Linked DNA regions of Drosophila melanogaster. The protein of the gene in region 4 interacts with the protein of the main gene of each other region in a biochemical or structural test. Each region holds a gene or a part of one and is shown on either strand. Other genes may lie near its edges.

The links.
Region 1: of the proteins of png (region 4) and Rabex-5, one has a biochemical effect on the other in vitro, tested with the Drosophila melanogaster proteins (one study listed by BioGRID).
Region 2: of the proteins of png (region 4) and Mmp2, one has a biochemical effect on the other in vitro, tested with the Drosophila melanogaster proteins (one study listed by BioGRID).
Region 3: of the proteins of png (region 4) and me31B, one has a biochemical effect on the other in vitro, tested with the Drosophila melanogaster proteins (one study listed by BioGRID).

The regions. Positions count from the first base shown.
Region 1 is NT_037436.4:1,294,380-1,299,054, forward strand, and holds Rabex-5 (Rabaptin-5-associated exchange factor for Rab5), read left to right. Parts: upstream 1-1,533; 5' UTR 1,534-1,646; coding exon 1,647-1,800; intron 1,801-1,885; coding exon 1,886-2,089; intron 2,090-2,143; coding exon 2,144-2,456; intron 2,457-2,529; coding exon 2,530-3,949; 3' UTR 3,950-4,118; downstream 4,119-4,675. Other genes in the region: scf (supercoiling factor), read left to right, coding at 4,347-4,675.
Region 2 is NT_033778.4:9,680,847-9,685,862, reverse strand, and holds the start of Mmp2 (matrix metalloproteinase 2), read left to right. Parts: upstream 1-2,004; 5' UTR 2,005-2,930; coding exon 2,931-3,080; intron 3,081-5,016. UniProt on the Drosophila melanogaster protein: Has metalloproteinase activity. Proteolytically cleaves the PGRP-LC receptor; involved in gut-fat body innate immunological communication (GFIC)-mediated activation of the imd/Relish signal transduction pathway.
Region 3 is NT_033779.5:10,237,373-10,242,728, forward strand, and holds me31B (maternal expression at 31B), read left to right. Parts: upstream 1-1,968; 5' UTR 1,969-2,163; coding exon 2,164-2,213; intron 2,214-2,566; exon of another isoform or gene 2,567-2,712; intron 2,713-3,119; coding exon 3,120-3,219; intron 3,220-3,307; coding exon 3,308-3,686; intron 3,687-3,760; coding exon 3,761-4,408; intron 4,409-4,473; coding exon 4,474-4,676; 3' UTR 4,677-4,800; downstream 4,801-5,356. Other genes in the region: mthl15 (methuselah-like 15), read right to left, coding at 1-473; chico, read right to left, coding at 5,265-5,356. UniProt on the Drosophila melanogaster protein: ATP-dependent RNA helicase which is a core component of a variety of ribonucleoprotein complexes (RNPs) that play critical roles in translational repression and mRNA decapping during embryogenesis, oogenesis, neurogenesis and neurotransmission.
Region 4 is NC_004354.4:1,355,956-1,359,430, forward strand, and holds png (pan gu), read right to left. Parts: upstream 1,647-3,475; 5' UTR 1,579-1,646; coding exon 703-1,578; 3' UTR 533-702; downstream 1-532. Other genes in the region: CG11417 (uncharacterized protein), read left to right, coding at 1-455.

The DNA.
Region 1 (4,675 bases), on a different chromosome or scaffold from region 4:
GATAAAATTAAAAAAAAAAAAGATTATTTTCTTATAAGTATTTAATTACAGCATGTTTGTATAGTTTAAAAGTCATATGTTTCATTTTGTTTCTTCGTTTTGTCAAGAGTTTTGTTTGTATAACTGTATATATGGAAAGTTAAGACATATTCTTTTTGAAACTTACAATTTCTAACTTGCTGTACTTTCTGTTTTATACGCCGAACTTTTGAATACACAGGGTACTCATACATAATTCGAAGACAAAATAAGAACCACAGTCATCAGATCAGCCAAATAATTCCAATTGATCAGCGATTGGAACAAGGAATTTATTGAAGCAAATCGTTAGACTTGAATTTTTTACAAATGCAACTCTTTTGTAGCGAATTGAATACACTCAGATACGAACAAATCAAAAACCAAAGAATGTTTAATCAAAAACCTATAACCAAAACCAAAGTCAGCATAATGTTGAAACACACGCGTTAAAGATAATTACATTGTTAGCTGTAAGAGTTGAACGCATACAAAGCAAAAACAAAAGCCAAAGACATCATAAGTAGTGTTAAATTCCAGTTCAAAACTATACACGAGACTTTTTCGAAACGGTTGAATTGCAAATGGGAAGTGAACGAAAACAAGAACGATCATGTTAAGTATACGTAAACTATCGATAGTAGTTGAGCACGGCAAGGCAAGGTTGCATTTTGATGACAGTAGCGAAATAGTATTAGCAATTTTTAAGACTAATCAAAACACAAACAGAGACAAAATGGTTTTTTCCAAATCTTTTTACTGCTAGACGAGAGAACAAATTTAGAAGAACTAGAGATAAAGTAGAGGTAGTGTTGAACTAGTCGAGTTGTTAGTAGTTGAGTGCATTATTGGATCGTCAATTACGAGGAGAGCTGGACGATGCAAAGGTTTGTTTGCAGATTTAAACTTTTCATTGGGGAACAAGATCGGTAACGTAGCGTAGAGCAGTTAGGACAAAAAACTTTGCAAATTTATAGTCTAGTCTAAGCCATAACTCTGTGTTTTCTGAGCTTTTTCCAATTGCTGTTGTGAACTACTACCATTAGCGACCCTTCCAGAAATGCATTCTTTTTACGTGTATAACCGTCCTAAATGTTACTACTTTATCAACTTGCTATGTCGATATACGTGTGTAACTGGTTTTAAAAATGTTTGTGTGCATCTAAGAATTGAATGTGTGTTGAAATGTTCCCTAGGACACCACGATTTTACTACATGTATTCGATCTAATTGTGCAAATTTCCCTAAGTTGCAGTTTAAATATTTTCTTTACGAATAAAATATGCTAAAATCCAATTTTAGTGGAACATAACTGAATAGTGTTTTAATTGTATGTGGGTTTACAGGTCATATGCGAACTACGTTCTTTTTTATCAAAATTATATTCAAAAGAGGGAAATCCCCCTTGTACGAAGCGAACTAGTTCCATTCGATGGGCGGCTACTTAAAGCCGGCGAACCAGCTCATCTCTAACTTTCTGAGCGATGTCCCACCACTGGATAAAAGACCATCTGGCAACGCTGGCAGCAGTAGAATTATTTATCTCCACAATTCAGTCACGAAAACAATAAGCAACAAAGGGACTCCCACAGATAAGGGAGCTGTATTTTTATAGCCACACCTCCGAGATGTCAACGGCGGCGCGACCTCCGTCTTTGCGGCTGGGCCAGCAGGACCTCAAGTGCCGTTCAGGATGCGGGTTTTACGGAACCCCCCAAAACGAAGGATTGTGCTCGATGTGCTTCCGAGAAAAGTTTAATGATAAGCAGCGGAAGTTGAAGCGTAAGTTGAAGCGTAGGTCCCCAGACAATGCTTGCATATAACTCCAAAGCCGATGAGCGTTGAGTCATGAAGTGGTTCTTTACAGAGACGGGTGGCGAGACGGGTCCTGGATCCTCTTCCTCGGTCGCCACCTTGGATCGCCGATCGCCACAGCATGCGCACCTCCAGGGAAAAGTGGAGCAGCAGGTCAGGAAGCCGTCGGACAAGGAGCAGGACAACTTGGGAACCCTGCAAAAGAAAAAGTTTACCGCTGTGCTGCAAAAAACTCTGCAGGCGGGAGCCCAAAAAAGTAATATTGCATAGCCACACTGCCTTTAAATGCTTATACTTGGATATTCCTTAGTTACCCAACAGCGTGGTCATGTGCCGGATCCCACGGAGGGCCAGTTCCTACTGCAATTGCGGCAACTTCGCATTCCCGACGATGGCAAGCGGAAACTCAAGCTTGAAATCCAGCGTTTGGACAGCGACATCCGCAAGTATATGAACGGAAATGGCGGCAAAAACATCAACGAACTATCAGATTTGGTTCAAAACGCCTACACCAAAGTCTCAGACATTGTGCACAACGATCCCAGCTTCGAGATAGCCACCAACGAGGATCGCGATAGTGCCATTGACTTCTTTGAGAAAGTGGTGATGACGCAGAACCACAAGTGAGTCAAGCGGAACGTTGATATCAGAGGAGTACATATTTTTATCTGGGAAACTCTTTTTTTTTTTTTGCAGATTTCTCTTCAGTCCCTATTTCACTACCGATGAGGACAGTGACGTGAAGGTGCAGAAGCGGATACGCCAGCTGAGCTGGATTACGGCCAAGCATCTGGACTGCAGCATCGACGAGGTCAACTCGGAGGCCAGGGATCTGGTTTACAATGCTATATCCGAGCTGGTGGGCATAGATTCGTACTATTCGCCGCAGGAGAAGCTGCAGTGCACTTGGCGCTGCTGTAGGCACATCTTTGAGCTTCTGAAGCGGGCAACTGGAGGACCCGCCAGTGCGGATGACTTCCTACCCGCCCTAATATTCGTCGTGCTTAAGGCAAATCCAGTGCGACTGCACAGCAACATCAACTTCGTTACGCGCTTCACAAACGCTTCGCGGCTGATGAGCGGCGAGAGTGGCTACTACTTTACCAATCTGTGCTCCGCCATCGCCTTCATAGAGAATCTGAATGGCGAGAGTCTGGGCGTCAGCAGCGAGGAGTTCGAGGCTCTGATGTCCGGACAGCAGCCCTACAGCACGCCCTGGGAAAGTGCCCTGTTGGCCTGCGAGAGCCTTCACCTGATATCCGAGAACATGAAGCGAATGGAGATGCTGCAGAAAAGGAACGCCCTGATAAGCTCTGGAATAACTTCATTTGAAAAAGAGCTTATCGATTTCCAAAGAGAGGTGACGGAACGAGTAGACACCGTGATTGCCAAGGCCCCACTCAACCTGCTGCCCATCAAAACACCCGCTTTTCTGATTGGTCAAGCCAGGGCGCACCTTCTCAACGAAAGCGAGGCTGGTCATTATCAAGCGAATATGCTGCACGGCGGCTCATTGACCTCCCAGTCGCTGACAGCAGCCGGTGGGTTGGTAAAGCCCGCAGCGGCGTCTAAAGAATCTGGATTGTCCCTTAAGGATACCAGCATGAGTTCGATGGGCCGTCTGTCGCCACTTCAGCAGAACGTTCAGCCAGCCGATCACCTCTTCGCCTCTCCAATCTTTAACTACACCGCGTTTGATGCCGTCTCGCTCTTGGAGGAGCCTGTGCCCGATGCGAACACAGACGTACTCATGCTGGGCTCCGAGTTTCAAGGAGGCCTGACCAATATCAACTACGACTTCGACTTGTCGGATCAAAGTGGGGAAAACAGCACTGCGGACGAGTCAAAGCTGAATCTCGACGAATTCGACCCCTTGGCGCAGAAGGGCCTAGTTGCCAAGCCACCGCCGCCTCTGCCGGAGACCAGTCTGCTGGATAGCACAACGGATAGCCTTATAGATAGCGAAGTGCCCGGCACAGCTGTCCTGCTTCCATCCCCTCTGAAGCCCGAGGTGTCCAACTACCGGGGCTTCTCAAACTTCGATATTCCCAGCATCTCGTGCAACACGGGAGACTTTAGTTCTCTGGGACAGGACGGCGCGGATGCTCCCAAATAAACGTTTGTTCACTGGGTCACTGAATCCTGCAGCTGTGTGAATGTAAATAAGTTTAAGTGAAATATTGTAGTTAGCCCAACGCTTCAATTCAAATTTCTGCACATATTTATTTGTACCATATTTAACTAGCTTTACAGAAAGGACGTTTAATAAATGCAATCTAACACATACACAAGTTGTATTGTTTTTTACAATAAACGGTTAACTAAGTTTAATTTCTTTCCCAGGGGTAATTGCATGATTTTCAAAAGTCCCGCCAACTGGGCATCACTTATCCAATAATCTGGCAGCACTAGAAAAGTAACAAGAGAGATTGTTGTTTTCGAAATATCTCAATCACACACGATTTATTCTCAGTTTGCCTGCCGAACCGAACGGACGTGAGCGCTCACGAGAAATGGCTAGAACCCGAATTCAGATGCTGCTACTTGTTGTTGCGCTGACGGCGGTGATAAGTGGAGCAAGTGCCTCCAGCATACCGGAAGAGCTGCCCCACAATCCGCTCGAGCACGACCCCCTGCACCCCAGGCACTTCGACGGGGGCGAGCACAATGCCCAGTTTGACCACGAAGCCTTCTTGGGCCCGGACGAGTCCAAGAAGTTCGACAGCCTGACACCCGAGGAGAGCAGGCGGAGATTGGGCGTCATTGTGGACCGAATCGACGAGAACAAGGACGGGTCAGTCACATTGGCGGAGCTAAAGAACTGGATCGCCTACACCCAGAG
Region 2 (5,016 bases), on a different chromosome or scaffold from region 4:
TTGCACCCGCTGATCTTAAATCGGCGACTGTTTCGATACTCCCGACCAGCTCAAGGGGTATGGAAGTACTTAAGCTAACGATAAAGATACGGCTATCAGCAGTTGTAGCGAAAGCCAGTAAACAAGAAAGATAGTGCAATGATGCAGTGAATCATTGAAGAGTTACTAACCTCTCGGAACGCTCACACCGAGCCGCACTATCTTGTGTTTCCTTCCGCTGGAAGCTTCCGATAACTGCTTTCTCGCTCCTGACCATGGGTCTGCCTTTTCTATCAAAACTACCATTGAGTAATAGGTGTAACAACATCGAACTGATAAGACGATTTTATATATATTGATGTCGCAACTTCGAAAATTACTCACCTTTCGATGGCCCGACCATGTATCATCAGTAATTTTGTCATTTGTACTTTATTTGGGTCAGCCGCAGATCAAAAATCGGTTTTGCATTCAATTTCGTGGCCAATTAGCACTTGAACCCAAGACCTCAGTCTAAGTTCAGAAATTGCCGGCAAGTTGTTTCGGATATCTGTGTGTACATACAGTGGTGCACGCCACTAAACGATCATGTTTCGAAATGAAATACATTTGAATGTGATAATACCAAAATATGATTTTACTATCTCTTACCCCGTGGGGGTTATATATTTATGATAAACTTGCATTTATCGCAGAACATATACATTTTCAAAACAATCATTTATAGATTTTATAGCATTTCGACTCATCAAGGGACTAGATCTACTGCGGTTCTAGATTGGCTATGATTAAGTGACAGTAAATTGAGTTTAAGTGGACATTGATATTGGATATATCAAGGCTGCTTATGCAAGAGCATTATCAATGACTATTTGGGATTTCCAAAAGATTGTGAATGGAAAAAGATAATCATCCTTTCGAATACTACGTTGAGTAACCGGCAGCGGCTAACATTCGTATTTTGATTCATTCAAAAATATAACCGGCTTGGTGAATAATACTCTGCAGTATATGATAACAAGTACCCAAGAATATATGGGCTTTTTTTTTTTTGATCTGGGTTTTTTATTTTCGAGGGTGTGGGTGTATTCATACTTATTCATAAATATTAGAAATCAAATGTAGCTAACTCATATCGATTCATTATTTTTTAGATTTTAGTTTCCTTTTTCATGGAACTACTCGATCAATCAATATTTAACGCCATCTGCCTTGTGTTTATTGTGCAATAGGCAAATGTCCCAACTTGGCGGAAACGTGTTAGACTGACACTTTTTAGGTAGCCAAAATCGAAGAGTATAAAGTAGCCAAAAAATATTAATATCGAAGAGCAGAGAGAAATATTAATATACACTTAAGAAAAGAACCTACCCAAAGTCACACAGACCAACATAATTTGAAATATTTGAAGCTATTATACTATTTAAAAAAAATTTTGTTTATTATTGTTTTACAATAAAATACCAAAAATCAAATCATAAGAGTATATGGTATAAAATTATAATGAATGTAGCAATAATTTATATACTGCTACCGATTTAAGTTTAAATTAAATTAAATTAATTAAATTACTTTTTTATGAGTCAAATATAATAACAAAGTGGAAAATACATAAATGTCTTTGACCACGGTGTTTGTACTTTCAGTTTTAATATAATTCTTTCATATGTAAAAAGGAAATTTTAAATACATTGGATTTCAGATCTCTAAATAAAAAACTATACAAATACGGATGAACAAAGTTATAGGCTCAGAATTTAAAAAGATTATTACGAAAAAAAAAATGTTTTTTGCTGCCTAATTTAAAATAATTTTTTAAAATCCTTTAGAGCCTCTTGGAATTCGTGCTTTTTCTTTCTGTGCCCCCTTAAGAGCGTGAGACAAGAGCGAGTTTCTTCTACTCTTACGTATTTTCATAAATCAACCGCGATCGCTGGCATATCCGCCCAAATGAAGAGAAGCTACTCTGTATTTTTGTGCTCTTTGTGCCCGCCTCTTCAAGTCGCTTCACGTCGAGGCAAGTCAGCAGTTCAGTCACATTTAGACATCCGCGCGGTAAACCCGCTTTCGGCGGTATAACGAGATTTTTTATTTCGAATTCGACAGAAACAAATAAATGTAAAAAGGAGAAATTGAGATTTATGCTTGCACAAAACACGCGAATAAAAGAGCACCGCCCACTTCTAGCGTTTTCTTTTGTGGGGTGAACAAAGCGACGTAACGGTTGACAGGAATCGGGTAACGCGAATCGGGAATCGGTGTTGGTATCGGGCATATACTAAAAAACGGATGAACAAGGAAAGTCTTTCCTTTGTGCAGCCACTGCGTGCTAATTAATTGTGTTTTTGTGGCCAAGTGGCATTCTATAGTGTGCATTCTATACACACCAAATTTAAATTCTATCCAGCCCAACCCAACTCAACGCCCCCAGCTCCTTGTTTTCCCACCATTCGTATGCGTCATATGTAAAAGAGCGCAAAAGGGCGGAAGGCACAGAGAGAAAGGAAAGCCAAGGAAAGAAGCAGTGGCCACAACAAAGCGGCAAGCACAAAACGCCAGAACAAGAAGCGCCAAACGGAAAAACGGGAATACCCCCGCCCAATCCCCACCGCTCCCCGCCACAACCCATCGCTCCTTCCGTTGTTTTTGTTGCTGCTGCAGCTGTATTTATGCTGCCGGGTATTCGTGTGAGTGCCGCCAATGCGCATGTGTGTCTGTGTCAACCCCCGCGGCCGAGGCGACAACAATAGCAAAAACAACAACAGCAGCGAAACTAAAACAAAAGTGAAAAGTTCAATTCCCAGCTTAGCACTACGAATTGTTAGTCCACCACATCGGTTAATTAAGCCTCGAACATAGAATAAAGATAAATACACAGTTTTGTTCCTACTGATCGAGGAATAGTTTCGTGTCCAAGTGTTTTCGTTGCGCGAGCGAAAGAGAGCGGCGAAATGTTTTCCAAATATGTTCTCGCCACCCTGCTCGCACTCTTTGCGCAATCCATGTGCATCCAGGAGCTGTCCCTCCCACCCGAAGGATCTCACTCCACCGCTGCGACCAGGTCCAAGAAGGCAAAAACCGCTATCTCCGAGGATATAATGGTAAGGCTCCAAATTTGAAAACTTCGATTTTTCCGAACCCAGCTTTTTTAAGCTCTATAAGATGATATATCGTATCGATCAAGTTAGTAAATTTGGGTGTTTATACAAAGTGCATCGACTGAAATGAAAATAATTCCCCAAAATAAAACGCAATGCAATCAATCATCCTACATATATCTGATGGTAAATGCTTAAGCACTGTTTGACCCAATTGCCATTTCAATAAAAATTCATCAATAATTGACATTTGAATCCCTAGAGCTGTTGGAAATCGCACAATGTTTGCAATAAAAATTGTAAAAGCAATTATTGAATGTGACATAAATAATTAAACAATGTAAATAGGAAGTTAAAGAGCAAGAAGGTAAATTAGAAAGGGGACAAAGGAAAACAAAATTAGCCTACAGTAGGCGCATTTTCATTCCGGCGGCTCAGATACTCAATCCGTATCTCCGCATTTGGTAGCAGACAGTAAATCGAGAGGCGGGTTAAGTACAATCGAGATAGACGGATCTGAAGGCCCCCAGCACACATATCCCCCCCTCCCCCTCACTCCACGATGCAGATGCTGCTGTGGCTGCTCGAGCCTATGACCTCAAAATCCCAAAATGCTCTACATATGCATAGACAGCACGAGACGTAGTTATATATCTAACTGTAAGTTAGGAAGGTATAATTTACTTTTAAATATTTGCATGTTGTGTGCTTAGTAGATTAATCTGTTTCCGTAAAATGTTTAAACAAAGGTCCAGTATCAACCTGTGTTAAGTAACTTCAAAAACAACTTGATTGGCATTTCTGGAAACCGTGATATAAGCGAAATGGTAAAGGATGATGACTTATAATACATGGAAAAAAAGAGATTCCAAGTTTCTCATTAACTTCTGATTTTTATTACGCGGAAGAATACACCAGTATGCAACTCACTTCACTGAACGAACGAAGTCCGCCTTACTCGTTCGAAACGCACTGTACATGTGTGTGCATACAGACGCCACGAGATGAGGGCCCCCAGTAGTCTCGGGTATGGCCACTGCAGTTCGTAGTGCACAATGCACGCTTATTGTTTGGGGGCATGCGTCCTATGGCTCTTAATGCATTTGTGGGTCTGCCTCCATCTTTACCCCCAGCCCCCTCCACCCACAACCCTTACTACATCGCCGCTGCCCATGTGGAGCCCTGGCCACTAGGACATTTCCTCGCGAATTTCTGCAGTTAATGAGAGCGGGCGCATTTTTTTTAATCAGAATAACAAAATATGAGCAATTTACCCATTATGCTCGCCTTTTGTTTTTGTTGCTCGTGTGCCAAGGAGTCGCGGTGGCATTCTTTAAGGCGCGCCAGGACATTGAACCCGCGCCACTGACTCACCAGCTCCAGACATGCGTGCCGGCCAGGATGAACTATTAATGTACAGCCAGCCATTGATGCGATTCTCCTCGTGTGGCTGGGCCAAATCTTGGCGTTTATTAAAGTTCGAAAGCCGTAATTAAAGTTCTGAAGCGTTTGCGGAAAATATAAGAACTGGAACTAAGTAGGACGCACATAAGCTCTGTACCACAGATGGTAGGCACCGAAGATTGTATGGATTTTCTCATGAATGTATAAACAACAGAGCTCTAAAATCGCATGCTGCAATAAATGTTCATGCTGAAAATATATGTCGAATATTATTTTAGAATTTCTAGTGGGATCCTTGGATTCTACTAAATTTTTAAATAATATAATATAAATATTATATTACCTATAGTTTGAATACTCCTAGAGTAATGAATAAGATTGAGAGAGTATCCCTGAAACAGTACTTGGGTCGAGGTCTTGAACGACTTGCATATTGTTTATTTAGTAAGGATACCGCTTCCCAGCTGCCCGTTGGATGAGCGAACATATGCCATATAGAGATAGGTATATGCATATGCATATATGGAGCACTATA
Region 3 (5,356 bases), on a different chromosome or scaffold from region 4:
CATGTATTATTTTCGGAAACGTAAATAAATCCCTGTGGGCAGCACTTGTTTACAAATCCAACACTTTGAGACGGCACATTCTTTTCGAATTCACAAGATAAAACGATGAGACGTCTGTTTAATAGTCCAATGCATGAGTTATTTCGCAAATTCAAGGTGCGTTCACCTAAATCACTTATACTCAGACTGCTAAAGTTCTGGCACTTTGATAGTGCGAATTGGCTGTGGCCTGAGTCATTGATAGCCTTTTCTAATCCAAGGCCCATTGGTGGTATCAATTTGCCTATCACTTGGGCAAGATCCGGAAGTTCACTGATGTTGCTTGCGGCGGAAGCGCACTGGTATATTTCCGCATTGTCCACAGTGCGGCGATATTTGAATAGTAACGAATTCGCGGCACAGCATAACTGAACGGCGAGCACTTTTGAAATGCCACTTAAAATCAGGCACACTAAACTTAGTCCGATGTTCATTGTTTACGGCTCGTCTATTATACCCAATGACCGATTTGCGAGCTTGTGTAATGTTTGTATCTTTTCTTAGAACGGACTTTTCATATCTTATCATTGAGGAATCGTTATCGGACCATATACACTTCGAACCGCATGCAGTTGCCGGATTTAACGAACTGAACTGAAGTCTTCGCGATTCCTTCGCGAGCAAATGCGAATGTTTATGGGTAAACATTTGGCCCGCACACAGACGGACATAGCTCGACGTATATAGGCAATACATTTATGGATTCTCGTAAGCCTATACAAATAAGTTATGCCCCATGGAGTGCCTAACACTTAGCATGCTGGGGGTGCTCACGGATGGTATCAATACACCCAAATGGCCGCATATTTATGTAGGTACTTTGTGGTTCTAACACATATCTATCTATCTACACAATTCAATTGATGACTTTGTACACTAGCTTCTGACGGCAAGACAAATGCGACTGCTCGTGTTAACATTGTGCAAAGCTCATTAAGGGGAAATTGATAAGGTACACAGATACACACATCCATACACACTTATGTACAGAGGTGGGTGAGGTAAGCAATGGATCCTTTAATCGTCTAAGTACTCTACGCACCATAAATCACCTGGAAAATGTCAACGATACGCAAGTATTTATCTTTTCAATTAACTTAAGTCTAGTTATTAGCTGACTTTTTTCCATATATTCTTTCATGACACAAACTAAAATCGCAAACATAAATGTCATTTTTATAATATACAAATCTCCTCTATCGCAAGTACTATTTATTTATTCTAATACAAATATATTAATTTTGTCATTCTCCAATCGGAATAAGTATAAATAAAGTATAAATCCATTGGTTAAGAAAAGAAAAATCAAAAAAATAATTTTTATTCATTTTAATGTTATTAGTTAGTTTCTAATGTGATCTTTCATTAAATATTTAATACTTATAAATTATAAATGAAAAGATATTCATAAAAATCGCAGACAATCAAATTAAAGCTTAACTCAGATGTTCTTCTTTCATACACGTTCGAAATCTTCCTGTCGTTCCTAAGTCCCGTTCACACAGGCAGCTGCTTCATCTGAAATGCAGTTCATATATTGTTTTTGTTATAATTAAACGGTGATTTTAACCCGGCCGGAGTGGAGTTGCTCATTGGAAATGCTTTTCTAAATTAATTTAAATTTAAAATAACGGCAACAGCAGCTAACACAACAAAAATGTGAAATATTTGGGTATACATATACACCTACAGGATTTATAAGAGGAAAATTTAAATGCCGATTTTTTTTAAATAAAATAATTCTTGCCTAAATATGTGGACTAATTTTAAAACGTTCATTTGTTTTTGTTAAGCCATGTATAAATTTCTACAATATTATTGTTCGTCATTTTGAACTTGCAAAATTTGTTTCATTCCAACGTTCCAAATCAGGGCAATACATATTTATTATCTACACCGAGTGAAAATATTTTCCGAGTCATCAGAAATTTGTATTATTGATAGCATGTTGTAAGGCGACTCGACTATTTTGAAGCTAAGTGAAATTTTATATTGAAACGCAAAGTTGAATACGTGAGCAGTATATGAAAATCGGTGAATACAGTGACTTCATTAGTCAGCCGAAAGCAAAAGAGAGCGAAATACATTTTTTAAACAAACTAAACTAAAATTTCACTGTGAATAATGATGACTGAAAAGTTAAATTCTGGGCACACTAATTTAACAAGCAAGGGGTTTGTATATTTTATATTTATTTATATTTTTTTTTTCACAAGAGGACCCAAGCTTGGTGTCCCAACAAACATAATATGCATGCGTATTCATCAGCCCATATTTATGATTAGATGCCGAAAAGACAAGCCGTTTTATAGTTTAGAACGTCAATTTTTGCAAATGATTGAGCATGTAAAAGCCGAAGATCTGTATTTTAGCAACATCATGTAGTTAGGCTGTTTTCACTCAACAACTAAACCTGCAGAACATGTTATCTAATGAAAAAAACCAAACAATGTGATTCCCGTATTTATATTACTTTATTGTATGTAGTAGCGGAACATGTGTACATATGTATAAAAGAGTTATCTACATATGTAGTTGCACTCGTGGACTTATTTACCGCTAAAAATGTTGCTAAATATAATTGCACTGACTTAAATCATTTAGAAACTAACACTGTATTTAGGTAAAACTTCTATTGGGTGATTCTCAACTTTTGAGATCAGAACAAAACAGGTATTTTTTTTTTGCATTTCAGCGCCATGAACAGTTATTCGTGGGCTGCCATTTTAAAATTTGGAGTAGCGTTTCTTTTTCTCTCCTCCATAAATGTGCGAAAGAGAAAAAATGTTGAGTTCAATCGCTTTTAGATTGTTCAGTTCTTAAATATTCAAGACATTATCCATCTTTGTTTACGATTTAAAATCAATATTAACATTATTATTAATATACATTAATACATGGCTTAGACTTTAGCTTAAAATGCACTTTACATAAAAGAACTCATTTACAAAATTTTAAAAATCAAAAATTTTTAATATATATATATGCTTATATATGCCATCCATATATATATGGATGTGAATGACCTACATATATCGTAATACTTTAATTACCATTTTATTTTTTTTCTTTTCATCCAGGATTATAAATGATCTTCAAATTGCTGGAAACACAAGTGACGATATGGGCTGGAAATCAAAGCTGAAGCTGCCGCCAAAGGACAACCGATTCAAAACAACTGTGAGTTTGCCGACAAATCAATCGGAATTTATACAATTTAAAGCACAAACAAACTAACAAATAAATGTATTGCCATTGCCTTACTCAGGATGTGACCGATACGCGAGGCAATGAATTCGAGGAGTTTTGCCTTAAAAGAGAACTGCTTATGGGTATATTCGAGAAGGGATGGGAGCGCCCTTCGCCAATTCAGGAAGCAGCTATTCCTATAGCATTAAGTGGAAAAGATGTGCTGGCTCGGGCCAAGAACGGCACAGGCAAGACAGGAGCCTACTGCATCCCAGTTTTAGAACAAATCGACCCAACCAAGGACTACATTCAGGCACTTGTGATGGTCCCCACCCGAGAGTTGGCGCTACAAACCTCACAGATATGTATTGAGCTGGCGAAACATCTTGATATCCGGGTAATGGTCACAACGGGAGGTACCATTCTAAAGGATGACATTCTTCGTATTTATCAAAAAGGTGGGTTTTGATGATAGTTAAATAACCTAATATCGGTTTAATTGCAACTTTCTAAATTTTCCCTACGCCTGCAGTACAATTAATTATTGCCACTCCCGGACGAATATTAGATCTGATGGATAAGAAAGTTGCCGATATGTCGCATTGCAGAATATTAGTTTTGGATGAGGCCGATAAGCTATTGTCGCTTGATTTTCAAGGCATGCTGGATCATGTTATACTAAAGTTACCAAAGGATCCACAGATCTTGCTATTTTCCGCAACATTTCCACTAACAGTCAAGAATTTCATGGAGAAGCATTTACGCGAGCCTTACGAGATCAACCTGATGGAGGAGCTAACACTGAAGGGTGTCACTCAGTACTATGCATTCGTACAGGAGCGCCAGAAAGTACACTGCTTGAATACGCTCTTTTCGAAGCTGCAGATCAATCAGTCTATCATATTCTGCAATTCCACGCAACGTGTCGAGCTATTGGCCAAAAAGATCACAGAGCTTGGATATTGCTGTTACTATATACACGCTAAGATGGCCCAGGCACACAGAAATCGAGTATTCCACGATTTCCGCCAAGGACTCTGTCGCAATCTGGTGTGCTCCGACCTGTTCACCCGTGGTATCGACGTGCAGGCCGTGAATGTAGTAATCAATTTCGATTTCCCACGAATGGCAGAGACATACTTGCATCGAATTGGTCGCTCAGGACGTTTCGGTCATTTGGGTGAGTTTAATTGCATTCTCATATTATAGTTTAGCCTATTTACAATCTTCGTTTCTCATTTTAAGGTATTGCTATTAATCTGATAACCTACGAGGATCGGTTTGATCTGCATCGGATTGAAAAAGAACTTGGAACCGAAATAAAGCCTATTCCGAAGGTCATAGACCCCGCCCTTTATGTCGCAAACGTTGGCGCATCCGTTGGCGATACTTGCAACAACAGTGATCTGAATAATTCTGCGAACGAGGAGGGCAACGTTAGCAAATAAAACGGATATGCCCTGTGTAACGCTAGTATCTGAAATAGAGTCTAAATCGTGGAATCAATAAAAACAGATGAACTATTTCAGAAATCAAAATTGTATTAAATAAATGGAAAGCAATTCAATTTTTAAATGCGCTCTTAAGATAACTGAAATGACTGGTCTATAAAAAAAAGGCTCGTTCACTTTGTGGGTTTTGGTGCTGAGAAGTATTAACATTAACTATTGGGGATTTGGTAAGGAAAGTTAGTCGAATGCTATTAAAAGGCAGGCTAAGGTCGTTTAATATCAATCCAGTTTTTAGTAAAGGGTTTAAATCAAATAAAAGGTCTAAAAGTAATTACAGGATTTTCGGACAAGAGAAGTACACTTGGATCAAGCTAAATCCTAGATTTACTTACATGGAAGAATTACCATTGGCAATTACCCGATTTACTAGATTCCAAAAAAAAAGTACAAAGGGATCATTATAATTTAAATAAAATTTATTTATTAGCATCCAAAATTGTAAGCTTTGCTTGTCAGAATATTTACAATAAATGTACAATATTAAACAAATCATATATATAGGATAGGGTCATAAATTTCAAAACTTTACGTATTAAATATGTTCGATGAGGAGGAAGAGGAGTCGGATTGGTCAAAGTCGATTTTCGCATAGGTATTCCCATCCTCCGGGCATGCGG
Region 4 (3,475 bases):
AGCTACTGCTGGACGATGGCGACGGGCGCGACGAGAAGCAACACTTCAGTCTGACCAAAATCCTCAAGAAGGAGGAGCAAGAAGCGAGCGGTTCAAAGCGAAAGCGTCGTCAGAAGTTAAAGAAATCGAAAAATCAGCCGCAGAATGCGGAGAAGCTGGACGACGACTTCCAGGTAAACCTGAATGATAATCGCTTCAGTGCCGTTTACAAGTCGCACGAGTACAACATCGATCCCACCCACTCCCATTACAAGCCCACCAAGGGCATGCAGCAGATCATCGGCGAGAAGTTAAAGCGCAGAAAGGAGCAGGGGGAGGGCGGCGCTGCAAACGGCGATGCGGATGGGGATGAGCAGGTAGCCCCCAAGAGGAGTAAGCAGCAGCTGGAGCAGAACGCCCTGGTAAAGAGTCTGAAGCGTAAGATCCAGCTGCAGCAGCAGGGCCAGAAGCTTTAGAGGATTAATGTTACTGTACAATAGGTGAACAAATGTAAATTAAAGACTACGTTAATGACATTGAGCGAGACTGTTTTGGAATATACATTATATACTGTTTATAGCTGACAGATCCCCTGGCAAAAGCACAGGCGCACACAAAGCACAGCACACACCTTAATTTATCGCTTAAGCTAGCCTAGTTCTTAAGTACAATGAAATATTTGTTGAGGTCTCCTCGTGCTGGTGAGCTGACCATTGGCTTCCGTTAGTAGCTGTAGCTGAAGTAATGCTTGTAGAGGGTCACAGTCATGCCGGCGTCGAGGTGGAAGATGTCTGGTAGGCAGATGCGGCGCTCCTGCTCGTAAACGACCATCAGCTCGCAAACTTGCGCCCACACGGGATCGTAGAGACGCCGGATGAGCTGGCAGTCGAGCCGGGGGCGGACCAGCGCCTGGACTACGGTGTGCAGTAGGGCAGGGGTGGCGTTCTTGTCGAGAAACGCGGCGAAGGGGCTGCGTCCGAGGCACAGCTCGTAGAGGACTAGCCCCAGTGACCACACGTCCGACTTGAAATCCACCTTGCCCTGGCTGGACATCGCCTCCGGGGCCATGTACATGGGCGTGCCCATGCCCGCCTGCAGTTGAGTGCTGGGCGCATGAACGTTCGCGATCCCAAAGTCGGCGATCTTGACGCGGTCGTTGGCGTCGAGGAGCATGTTCTCGGGCTTGATGTCTCGGTGGATGACGCAGCGGATGTGCAGGTACTCGAGTCCCACTACCATGTCGCGGAAGTAGCCCATCAGCCGCTCCTGATTGACTCCCCCGGTGCCTGACGGCAGCTGCTGGATGACATCCCTCAAGGTGCCGTTGGGCACGTACTCCATCACGATGTTCACAGTGCCCGCGTGGCTAAAGGAGCGCAGGAACTCAACGATGTGCGGGTGGCGCAGCTGCGAGATGATGTACACCTCCTCCTTGATCAATCCCAACTCTGTCTTCGGATTCCGGACGATGATCCGCTTCACGCACACCTTCCTCTCCGGCTGTCCGCGCACCTCGTTTTGGTGGCAGAGGAAGACCCGGCCAAAGGTGCCCTGGCCCAGCACCCTTACCGCACGCAGCTTAGAGTCACCCAGTTCCATCTCGAGTGCGCAGAGTTCCGAAAGCGTAATCCGCGATCCCGCCTTGATGTACAGTTAGCCAGCAAAAGCGCAAGCGCGCCATCTATCGATTGCTTCGAAACAAGAGATGCACAGTTCCATCGGAAAAAGCCGAAAACTCGGAACTTCGGAAACCCCATATGAAAATTGCTCATCTGGCCAGCAGCAACAGTGCTCAATGAAAGTAAGTTATTAGAGTCTGGTTAATTAATCAAACTAACGCATCGTGAACTAACCCCATTCAAAAAGTCCATCCATGTGAAAAGTATGACTATCCTAAATTTTTATTTATTTTATTTAACAAAATTAAATATAGTATACAATACTAAACCTAATTAAATTTAATGAGTACTAGCTACGGGGGCCTTCGACTCGAGACTTATGGGTTAATTGCTTTATATAATAAACTTAGCTTTTTGGACAAATTTGTAAATTTTTGAGATATTTTCACAGGATGGGATACTTAAACAATTCGAGAGACTATGTGTACCAAATAAGTGAGATCTAATTGAGTGCAATTGACTGCAGGCGTTGAGAATATGGTCAACGGTGAGCTCGTCCCCGCATAGTTGGCATGTTGGTCGCGCCGATCTCATCAGTAAGTGTTGATGTGTGGATTGGGTGTGCCCGATGCGTAGACGGATAAAGGTCGCGCATTCCCGTTTATGTACGTTCGTTGGTGGCTTGAACATGATGCAATTCGGATTGATAGACTGGTACCTGTGCATGAAGAGTGCCCATTCGGAGAGTTTCTTTTCTTTGAGGTATAACTTGATTCGACTTTTTAGGTCCTTGGAGTTAAACGGAGTGAACAGGATTGATGGTGTAAGCCTCATCTCTTGGGCGGCTTTGTCAGCAAGTTCATTCCCATGAATACCTTGATGACTGGGAACCCAGAGTAAGGTGATTTTTTTTGGGTGAGAACTTAGAATGTGCCTAACTTCTTGTGTTGTGGGGTCATTATGGTTCCAGTTGCGTATAGCGGAAAGAGAGGAGAGGCTGTCTGTGCAGATAACAGATTTTCCAGCGTTTTTGGAAGCGAATTGGCATGCTTTGAGAATGGCGAAAGCTTCGGCTGTAAATATGGAGTTGTAGGACGGAAGCCTACCTCCTGCAATTATTTTACGGTTAGAGTCAACAACCGCAAAAGTAGTTGCGCCGGTGACTTTAGAACCATCGGTGTAGATCCAGTTTTTCACACCAAGATCTTCTTGTGCGCTCATAAAACGTTTTTGGTATTCTAGGCGACCTGTATCCTTTTTGGCAGCATTGTATATTTGAAGGTTTATGTTAGGCTGTTTGGAACCCCAAAGTGCTGGCGATTTGAAGGGCCTCCTGGGCTTAGGCAGGGGAAGGTCAAGTAGCTTGATGTAGTTGGCGCAACGTCTTAGGGTGGATATGCACTTGAATTTCCGTTTTTGTTTAAATATGGCTCCGAAGTCTTTGGTTAGCAGGCAGTTTGACGTGGTGTACAGCTTCGGGATAAGCATCAATGTAGTTTCTTCTACGCGTGATTGGATACTCGGGAGACCCGATTCTGCCAATGTGCACGCTACTGGAGATGTGGGAAATGCGTGAATGGCGCGACGGACCGCTCCGTGATATGGGACTTGTAGCTTTTTTAAGTGTGATTTAGCACACCAACCGAAGATTGGCAGTCCGTAGTCAATTTTAGATAGCATTAAAGCGCGCGTTCGGCATTCCACAGTCTTCGGGTGGAGACGTGTTTCTTTCAAGCTACGAATAGCAAGTTCTAAAAACTACAACAGTATAGTGAAAGTTAAACACAAAGTGTAAAGTGCAGTTTGCACAACTAACAATTATTGACTATAGTAATTATTTACTAAAATAAATAATTATTCCATATTGTTCTGGTAAT